2 linked regions of the Macaca mulatta genome follow. The protein of the gene in region 1 purifies or fractionates together with the protein of each later gene. This does not show direct contact. Links are inferred from orthologs where the notes say so. Each region holds a gene or a part of one and is shown on either strand. Other genes may lie near its edges.

The links. Proteins that work in one complex are often made in the same cells at the same time.
Region 2: the proteins of CHUK (region 1) and PIAS1 purify together in Homo sapiens (affinity purification with western blotting; 3 studies listed by BioGRID). This does not show direct contact. The link is inferred for Macaca mulatta from reciprocal best matches to the Homo sapiens genes CHUK and PIAS1.

What each region holds. Positions count from the first base shown.
Region 1 is NC_133414.1:112,269,414-112,274,706, reverse strand, and holds part of CHUK (inhibitor of nuclear factor kappa-B kinase subunit alpha), read left to right. Parts: intron 1-1,069; coding exon 1,070-1,184; intron 1,185-1,868; coding exon 1,869-1,938; intron 1,939-3,695; coding exon 3,696-3,784; intron 3,785-5,027; coding exon 5,028-5,117; intron 5,118-5,254; coding exon 5,255-5,293.
Region 2 is NC_133412.1:45,694,916-45,700,208, reverse strand, and holds part of PIAS1 (E3 SUMO-protein ligase PIAS1), read right to left. Parts: intron 2,418-5,293; coding exon 2,333-2,417; intron 2,085-2,332; coding exon 2,037-2,084; intron 1-2,036. UniProt on the Homo sapiens protein: Functions as an E3-type small ubiquitin-like modifier (SUMO) ligase, stabilizing the interaction between UBE2I and the substrate, and as a SUMO-tethering factor. Catalyzes sumoylation of various proteins, such as CEBPB, MRE11, MTA1, PTK2 and PML.

The sequences.
Region 1 (5,293 bases):
TATGATCTTTCCTCAGAAGTAAGACTCCATCCTTTTCCACCACATTCTGTTTGTTACGGTGAGTCACTAAGTACAGCCTACATTCAAGGGGAGGAGAGTTAAATTTTTGAAAAGAGAAGTAGATATATTTTAAAACTTCCACAGGTAGTGTGCTAAGTGCTTTACGGATCATTCTTCCAGTTTATCACAGCAATCTTATATTTAGGTATTATTTTGTAAGTGAGGAAGTTGAAGCATATAGAGTCACATAGCTGGTGGTTGGTAAAGTGTGGATTTGAAATAAATACTTTCTGACTCTAATATATCTGTGCTTAATTTCATTTTGCTTCTCAAACTTGGTTATGTGGCAGAATCACCAGGAAAGCTTAACAATATAAATTATCAGGCCCTGCATGTACATGGAAATTCTGTTTGTTTCTTTTTCTTTTTTTTTTCTTAAAGAGATGTGGTCTTGCTGTGTTACCCAGGCTTGACTTGAACTCCTGGGCTCAAGTAGTCCTCCCATCTCAGCCTCTGGAGTAGCTGGGACTATAGGCATGTGCCACCACACCTGGCTAATTTTTAATTTTTTGTAGAGATGAGGTCTCAGTGTTACCCATGCTGATCTCAAACTCCTGGCCTCAAGCAATCCTCCCACCTCAGCCTCCCGAATTGTTGGGATTACAGTTGCAACTGCATCCAGCCTAAAACGCCAGATTTGAATCCTTACTTGACTACCTACTGACTGTGTTACTTAGCCAATTTGTGCTTCAATTTTCTCCTGTGTGGTGAAAGTATTAATAAATCTACCTATATTAGGATTATTGTGACAAGTAATTGAGTTAATATATTTAAAATGCTTACTGCTTGGCACTTAGAAATGTAATAGTAGTAATAGTGATGGTATTTTTATGTATGTTTTCTTTTAAAAAATTCTAATTTTTAATTATACAAATCAGAAATTAGAGTATTATAAATAATACCGATCTTTCCCCCTCTGTTCATCCACCTGCAATTAAGTAGCATTTCAAATCCAGTCCCTTTTTATTGGAAATAAATTTTTTATTGTAATGTTTTTCTTTCTTATTAGGTTGAACCATGCCAACGTTGTAAAGGCCTGTGATGTTCCTGAAGAATTGAATATTTTGATTCATGATGTGCCTCTTCTAGCAATGGAATACTGTTCTGGAGGAGATCTCCGAAAGGTAGTGTGGATGTTTTGAGATGAGAGATAGTAAATCACAAACTTTAGCATTATTTGAATCATATTAAATATAATAAACTAGAATAAGAATCGGAAAAACTATGGTCTGCTTCCTGTTTTGTAAATAGTTTTATTGGAACACAGCCACATTCATTTCTTTACACATTGTCTGTGGCTGCTTTCTTATGACTGCAGAATTGAGTAGTTTAACAGAGGCTATGTGACTTGCAAAACCTAAAGTATTTACCATATGGTTCCTTACAGAAAATGTTTGTTGACTCCTGATTTAGAAAATGCATTTTTGTTGTTGCTGTTTGATGGGACTATAGCAGTGGTATTAGATGAAATTTTCAGTGGTTAAGGTGCTTGTAAAAAGTTGTTTTCTGTATTGCAATCTTTCTTTTTTACCTAATTTTAAATGTGCCCATATGACCATTTATATATATATCCCTGAGATTTGTCAGCCTTTTCCAGTTTCAAGTGCTTTTTGCTTCTTTTTACTTTTATGAGCCTTATCATGAAATTTACATGCCGTCAGTATGGATTTGGTAATTGTATTCCCTTGTATTTTATTATGACTTACTTTCTCATTGAATATTCTCTTAGAGTATAGTAATTAATGTGTGGTCACTATTACAGCCCAGCAATTTCCAGAACACATTTTTAGATTTCTTTCTTTTTTTAGCTGCTCAACAAACCAGAAAATTGTTGTGGACTTAAAGAAAGCCAGATACTTTCTTTACTAAGTGATATAGGTATGTAATCAGTATTAAAATACCATTGTGATGTAATGCCCCTTTGGTCCATAAAAGATTCTGTACCTTTTTGGGAATTCAGGAGAATTGTTGATACACTGTACAAAGTCTATAGAATTTCAGCATCTATAAGAAGTTATCATATAAATCTATTACTGTTGATGCTAAATTAAAACCAGGATATTTTTATATCCTAGGGTGCGGTGGCTCACGCCTGTAATCCCAGCACTTTGGGAGGCTGAGGTGGGCGGATCACGAGGTCAGGAGTCCAAGACCAGCCTGGCCAACATAGTGAAACTCCATCTCTACTAAAAATACAAAATGCCTGTAATCCCAGCACTTTGGGAGGCCAAGGCGGGCAGATCACAAGGTCAGGAGATCGACACCATCCTGGCTAACACAGTGAAACCCCGTCTCTACTAAAAAATCCAAAAAATTAGCTGGGTGTGTTGCGGGCGCCTGTAGTCCCAGCTATTTGGGAGGCTGAGGCAGGAGAATGGCGTGAACCCAGGAGGCAGAGCTTGCAATGAGCCGAGATCACGCCACTGCACTCCAGCCTAGGCGACAGAGCGAGACTCCGTCTCAAAAAAATAAAAAGAAAAATAGAAAAATTAGCTGGGCATGATGCCACATGCCTGTAGTCGCAGCTACTCGGGAGGCTGAGGCAGGAGAATTGCTTGAACCCAGGAGGTGGAGGTTGCAGTGAGCCGAGATTGGGCCACTGCACTCCGGCTTGGGCAACAGAGTGAGACTTTTGTCACACACACACACACACACACACACACACACACACACACACACAAACTAGGATATTTTATTTATTTTTGGCTAGGAGTCCTTTTTTAATCTAATAGGTGTTCCAATAGCTGACAAAAAAATCATGCAAAATGACCTTACTCAATTTCACTCCTCCCACACCATTGACATAGTAATTTTTTTTACAGTGGAATTGCATCTCCTTGAGAGATGGGTCCTCAAATCAACTCTTTTTTGTTTGTTTTGAGACGGAGTCTAGCCCTGTCACCCAGGCTAGAGTGCAGTGGTACGATCTCAGCTCACTGCAAGCTCTGCCTCCCAGGTTCAAGTGATTCTCCTGCCTCAGCCTCCTGAGTAGCTGGGATTACAGGCGCCCGCCACCATGCCTGGCTAATTTTTGTATTTTTAACAGAGACTGGGTTTCACTGTGTTGGCCTGGCTAGTCTCAAACTCCTGACCTCATGATCCGCCCGCCTCGGCCTCCCAAAGTGCTGGGATTGCAAGCGTGAGCCACCGCGCCCGGCCAAGTCAACTCTTGGGGTGAAAAATCTCTGCTTAATCAGAATGACTCCAGAAAAATTCCTAAAATAACCAGTACCTAACCTTTTGGAGGAACCTCAAAAACCAAAAATTTGTTTCCGCGTAGATTTTGGTTTTGCCTCTTTTCCAAGGTCATGAGAGCTAAAGTCCAATTTAAATGGTTGATTTAGGTGGGAGAAGGGGGCTTATTAGAATTACAGGGATTTTCCCAATTGCTTGTTGCATTTCTATTTAATGTTAATTCTAATGAGTTAGATGAACATATAGTATAATTTTGTAGTATTTGCTTAATGTTACGTTTTTCTGTGAAGAAAACCTGAACTACTGTAATATTAGTTGTGTAGTTACGATGATCCATATAAACTTGAGCATCAGAGCAGATTTGTACAAAATGTGAGGTGAATTTTTCTTTTAACTCAATGCTTTCTGTTACTTCAAAGTGTATTTTAAACTTTATTTAGGGTCTGGGATTCGATATTTGCATGAAAACAAAATTATACATCGAGATCTAAAACCTGAAAACATAGTTCTTCAGGACGTTGGTGGAAAGGTAGGTGAAACCTGAAGTAATGTTTCATGCCTATTGAATATAGTCTGTCTGATATAGTTAGTCCTTGAGCTTTGGTGTCTTTGCTGTATGCCCGTAACACTCTTACTTTTTCCATTTCAGACCTTACCACACTGAACTGTAGTTTTGTGTTTAGTTTTTTGTCCCTTCTGCTAAACAGTGGTTCCATTAAAGAAGGAACTGCACCTGTCTTTTTTTTCTTTTTCTTTTTCTTTTTCTTTTTTTTCATACTTAACGCAGCTCCTAGACTTCACCTGTCTTGTTCATGTCTGTTTTTCCAGCATAGTATCTAGCAAAGATACTGGCAGTGAATACATAATATGTTAACACTTACTATTTTATTCTTATGAAGCACATCCAAAACACATACACACACATCCTGGGTTCACTTTAAGAAAAAAAGAAAGTATGTATATTTTTAAAACTTATTTTCCTTCCCCCAATTTAGATGAGTTATCTGGAGAAGAACCAGAAATTGTGAATTGACTCTTAAAATGTTCATTTAATTAGTAACTTTTAAGCAGTTTTCTTGTTTCCAGCGTCCAAATTTCATTCCAGTAAAGACTTAAAAGCCAAGAGTCTGCGCCTTGGGTTGAGTTGTGTGTGCTGTCTTTTCAGGTAGTGAAGATAGTTGTTGGTCTCGTGGGGGTGTTGGAACCTTCGTGATGCTTCTTCTCTTAGGAGCCTTTCGTGTATGCTTGGCACCAAATATCTCTGCTTTTTTTTTTTTTTTTTTTTTTTTATCCAAAGACTTCAGGACATTCTTGAAGTTAGATCTCAGTATTTACTCACATTTAATCCACTCTAAGGGGGTATGATGCTTCTTCAAGTTTGGAAGTCAGCCTTGCCTTTACTTTCCAGTTTAATGGATCGAGCTTATTTTGAATATAGCAAAATAAAAATTAATAGCCCACCTGTATTTAATTTTTATCGTGTACCAAGCACTGTATTACCTTCTTTACTTTCATTATTTCATTGGATCCTAATAACAATTCTGTGAGGTAGGGACTGTTAGTCGTCCAATTAGATTACTGAGAGAGGTTAAATAACTTGGTAGATCACACACCTAGTTAAGTGGTGGCACTCAGACTTGAAATATTTTTGTGATATTACAGAGCCTAAGCTCCTCACCACCACCCTCTCTATAGCCTTATAAGGATATTGTTGTCTTTCCTTTTTAAATTTCTCTACCATTTAATACTTAATCTGTCTTATTATTTTTCAGATAATACATAAAATAATTGATCTGGGATATGCCAAAGATGTTGATCAAGGAAGTCTGTGTACATCTTTTGTGGGAACACTGCAGTATCTGGTGAGGCCTGTATTGTTTCTTTGAATTTAAATGTGTGTAGGATTCTCTTATTTCTGAAGATCATGAATATAGTAGTTCAAAAATAAAGTAGTTTTTCCCATACAGTGTTGGTGTTTAAAACATTTTCTCTTTTGAAGGCCCCAGAGCTCTTTGAGAATAAGCCTTACACAGCCACT
Region 2 (5,293 bases), on another chromosome or scaffold:
AAGTTTCTGTGAAGTGGTTCATGGGGCAGAGAGAGGGAGTGGAGCAGGGAGGCGCAACAGAAATGAAAACAGACTAGGTGTCTAATAGAGAAAACTTGGATCCTAATTCTCAACTAATTATTTTCATGCTTTAGATAAACACTTACAATTAGGATAGCAGATAGGCATACACTCCTAACTTAAATAATATACTATGGTTGCAGACCTAGCAATGTGGGGCAGGGAGAGAAATGATCGATTTTATTAAAACACAAAGAACCACCTAACAACAACCAAATATAACACAACATGGTTCTTTTTTTTTTTTTCCCCCAAGTCCTGGAGATAAATTTCAATTAAAATAGCAGTCATGGATTCCCTTGGAATCTGAATTATAATAGCTGATCTATCTAGACAACCTTACTTCAAAATGTGGACCACACCTGTTGCTGCTTTAAAGAATGTATGTATATTAATACAAAATACTTAGTAACTAGATCTTTTATTCTAAAGCTATGGTTTTTAAACTCTGTTTTAGTCTTGGGACTCTGTCTTCAAGTGAAAACTAACCCAGAGTCAAACATGCAAAACAGATAAAAGAGATAAAAGAAGCCCCACTTTGGTTCAGACTGTGTATGTGTTTAGGAGAGAAGAGGAGGGAGAAGGGGAGGATGGCAGAAGAGTATGAGGCCCTAAGGGTGGCTCCATGCAACAAGTTTGAAAACCACTGATTTAAAGGATAATGTCAAGTATCAGTACAAGCAAAATGTCAACTGTTGAGGCAGGAAGTAGACTACAGCAATACATAATTAACTATGGAGACATCTTATTTTTGTCCTTTAATTTATTCAGTCATTATCACAATCTGGCCGAAACAAAATATACCTTTTATACAGAATCATCTTCGGCAGTGCCTTCCAAAACTGAAACTTAGATTATCACTAGTCTACTGCGGTAAGGTCCTGTCATACTGTTTTATGGTATAAAAGCTATTAAGCATAGTCATATCCTTTTTAGAATCTTCAACTCAACTTTCGACTTCAACTCTGCTTTCTCACTGTTTTTACCTTATTATTTCAAAGTTTAGATTAGAGGTTTTCACAGGATTCCATAAAGTGCCGAACAGGTGTTTTAGATTAATTCCTTTTTTAGCCTCCTAGTGTATTTGCAATTTGTACGTACAACTTAGTATCTGATTATTGAGACAAGGCTATCTGTTTGATTTATCCTCCCAACAATTATAGGGAAAACAGCTTACTGAGGAAAACAACTGTTTTACATTTTCTCTTCCATCCCTATTGCAACACTGTGGACATTTAGGGTGGGAAATTGAATAATAAAAGCATAATATGATGGTTTATATAAGCACGGTTTATATAAGGGAGATATATATATATGTATATAAAAGGGAGATATATAAGGGAGAGAAATAATACAAAAGATTTCTTAGATATTCTAAAATAAATGAATGGGCTAAGAAAACAAACTGAATAAGGGGTTGTGAACCCATGTTGGAAAATTTCCCATTAGTCTTTGAAAATTTTCAAGAGATGTCTCAAATGGATCCTAAATTAGAGCACATTTAAATTATTAAAAATATAGAACAAAACAAATTAGAGTATTTCGGTGTTTGTTAGTCCATGAGATACTGTAGACTTAAGTACTAATTCCTCATGCACAATACTTTGCCTCTTATGGAGATAACGCCCATGCTTTCATAAAACTTGATATGATATTGTAAGATATCATTAGCAGGAGCTTCTCAACCAACTGAGGGCAAATATGGCTAGATATATAGAACATGACTTCCTATATTAAAATCTAAATTGGGGGGTGGGCAGGTGGGAGAAAAAATCTAAACTGGATGAAAATTAGAATATCTCGTAACAGGAGAATGTTTTCCCTCACCCAAATATCTAAACCTAATTCTTTCAATACACTTACTGAAAAATCAGGTAGATTTCCTCTTATTCCTTAAAAATTTTTTTCCATCTCCCCTTCCTGATAAGGAATATTATCTTTTAAACTTTGAATATATCCTATAGTCAGCACTATACCTTAACTGGACCTGTACTGTGAAGTCACATTTGGTCCCAGAAATGTCCCTAGAAGAGACAGAATAGGAATTACAATTACTTTTAAAGTATTTGCATGAAAGTTCATTCAAAGACATTGTTACTCTAGTAAAGTTTTTCAAATTACCATAACTGTTCTTAATTAACACACTATATTTGCATTACTAATATTTGCAACACACAAATACTAACTCACCAATCACTGTTTTTTAAAATCATTTATTCTAGTCTACTGGATTCAAAGGTCAAACTGCAAGTTACACTTGCTGACAACTTACATGGAACTACTGATTTGCTGCACTTGTTGTGGTGTCAAGGCAAACGCAAAACAGGTTTCTCGAAAGCGCTGACTGTTGTCTGATGCTAAAGAAGACAAGAATTATACTTTCAATTACCTTTAAATTTGCCAGTAAAGACAAAAGCAAAAAACAAAAACAAAAACAAAAACAAAAAAAAACCACACACTCACATGTCTTTAATTAACTGGTATATATTCTAGAGTTTAGATAACAAGGCAATTAAAGCACTGAAAAATAAGAAATACACTAATTGTAACATAACAGAAATAGAAACAAAAATGGCTAATTCCAGAATAACATATCAGGATTCAAATTCAAACAATACATAATCAAAGAAAGACTAATGAAAATCTTTCTAATCATATAAACATTTGCATCTAAAGAGCACACTTGTATAAAAACATACGAATTTTATTTAAAATAGAATGATATAAACCCATTTAAAGAGACACGGTTTCTGGAAGAAGAAACAAACATACCCACCTTGAGAGCTGCACAGGTGAGGTAACATTTGGTTTATAAAGTAAATTAAGAATTTTATCATCTCCTGTTTAACTCCACCATGCAAGTTTTATACAATAAATATCACGTACAGTTTTTCTCCTAATCTTAGATGAGTTCAAAATTTGCTTATTGTCACTAACTCAAAGAAGGAAAAGAGATGTAAAAGAAGAGAAGCAGGCCGGTTGCAGTGGCTCATGCCTGTAATCCCTGCACTTTGGGAGGCCGAGGCGGGCGGATCACGAGGTCAGGAGATCGAGACTATCCTGGCTAACACGGTGAAACCCCGTCTCTACTAAAATACAAAAAATTAGCCAGGCGCGGTGGCGGGTGCCTGTAGTCCCAGCTACTCAGGAGGCTGAGGCAGGAGAATGGCGTGAACCCGGGAGGCGGAGCTTGCAGCGAGCAGAGATCCGGCCACTGCACTCCAGCCTGGGCGACAGAACGAGACTCCGCCTCAAAAAAAAAAAAAAAAAAACAAAACAAAAAAGAAGAGAATTAAGTAAGAAAGGAAGGAAGGGAGGGAGGGGAAGAGATGTGGGAAGAAAGACAAACACATGCAAGCAGGTAGGTAAGCACAGTCAGACTAGAGCAGGGGTTTCTGAAGTATGCTGTTATGAGCCACAATAGTTTCATTAGACTTTTTGTTTGTTTGTTTTTTTAAGAGACAGGGTCTTGCTCTGTTGCCCAGGCTGGAGTACAGTGGCACCATCATAGCACAAACTCAAACCCCTGGGCTCAAAGTGACCCTCCTGCCTCAACCTTCTCAGTAGGTAGAACTACATGCATGCATCACCACATCCCTTGGCTTTTAGTACATGTTAGATACATTTTTTAAAAACATGGTTAATATCCTTTTTGCTCACTAATGAGTCCTCAGTGCTTGGCACAAGGAGGCACTGAATACTACTTATTTGTTGAATGAGTAAAGGAATACAAAAATTTAAGAAATAGCAGATTAAACTATTTATACTACTTTTCCAGGGTAATTTTCTAGAACAAAATGATCACTAGGAGTTATTATTAAGAAACTCCCAGCCTCCGGGGCACTTAAGTCCTGTGCTGAATAAGCAGCTGAAGTTGGTTGTTTCAATCTCTTGCTTAAACTGAGTTTGATCATACTTGCAAGAAACATTTCCTTTGCAACTACCAACCAAATTGCAGTATGTCATGTCAGAAAGTCGATACCAAACGTATCATTGAGAAAGAAATAGAAAAGAGCACTGTTGATCTAGAATTCCATCTCAACATTAACAGTATCTTTCAAAGGCCAGATTTGCTTTCTGCTTTATGTGTTCTGGGATGACTTTTTCTTAAAGAATCTATCACCAAGGAGCAGTCACTAACAGAAAAAGTTGTCTTAATTGTGAAGCATCAACCTGGCAATGCCAATAACTAAGGCCCAGAATGTAGAAAAACAGCTAACATTTTCCTCTGTCAGGTAATGCAAGTAACTAACTTCTTCGCTTCTTAGAGAATATATCTCTATCAAGATTTTAGTCCAGTAGACTTAGCCTAATTTAAATCTTTGGCTCTATTTTTAAAAAGTGCTAAAATAATTTCTCAAGTCCAAAAATTCATATTACTCTCTAGGCAAAATTTCAGATGCATTTTAGAATATATGACTACAGTAAGTTTTGGATATATATAGGTTTAGAAAGAGAAGATATAACTAAAATAATGAGGCTATTTCTTATGTCACAAATAAAAATCAGGTTTCTTACTTAATAATAGCCCCTACTTCCATCTCCTTTTATATATACATTGTAACACTCATGGGGTTGCTACTATTTATCTAGAAGAGCACCTTTCACACTTTGTAGTTTTTGGGCTTAATTGCTGTTACAAACGATAGTGAAGTCTTTATAGTTCTGGTTTTAGAAAAAACTATCTAAAAACCTTTCTGAAAGTGAAGTAAGCTACCATTAGCCCTTTCAGAAAAATTCTGGACAAATTACAGAATCTTCATACTGAAAGGACTCTTACGAAATCATCCAAAACAATGACCTTCAATGTTGGGGGTATACAGTTCCATGGGTAAAAAAGACAATCCATAGGGATACATAAAAAAGTATCTATCTGCAAAACAGAAGTTTTATAAAGATGAGATTTTACATAAAACCTAAAATCTAATTTATAAAAAAACTAAAATGTTATATAAAATCTTAATCTTTCTAAACTCTTATTTTTCCTATAATTGAAAAAATTAACTGACAACAATTATACATATTAATGGGGTTCGCAGTGATGTTTTGATACATACAGTATATAGTGATCAGATCAAGGGAATTAGCATATACATCATCCCAAATGTTTATCATTTCTTTGTACTGGGAATGTCCTATATGTTTTATAACATATGAGTACAGTAGTTGATGTATAAGCTACATATATAGTATGTACAGTACTTTGCTAAGAGTATGATCAAGTAAGTTTGCA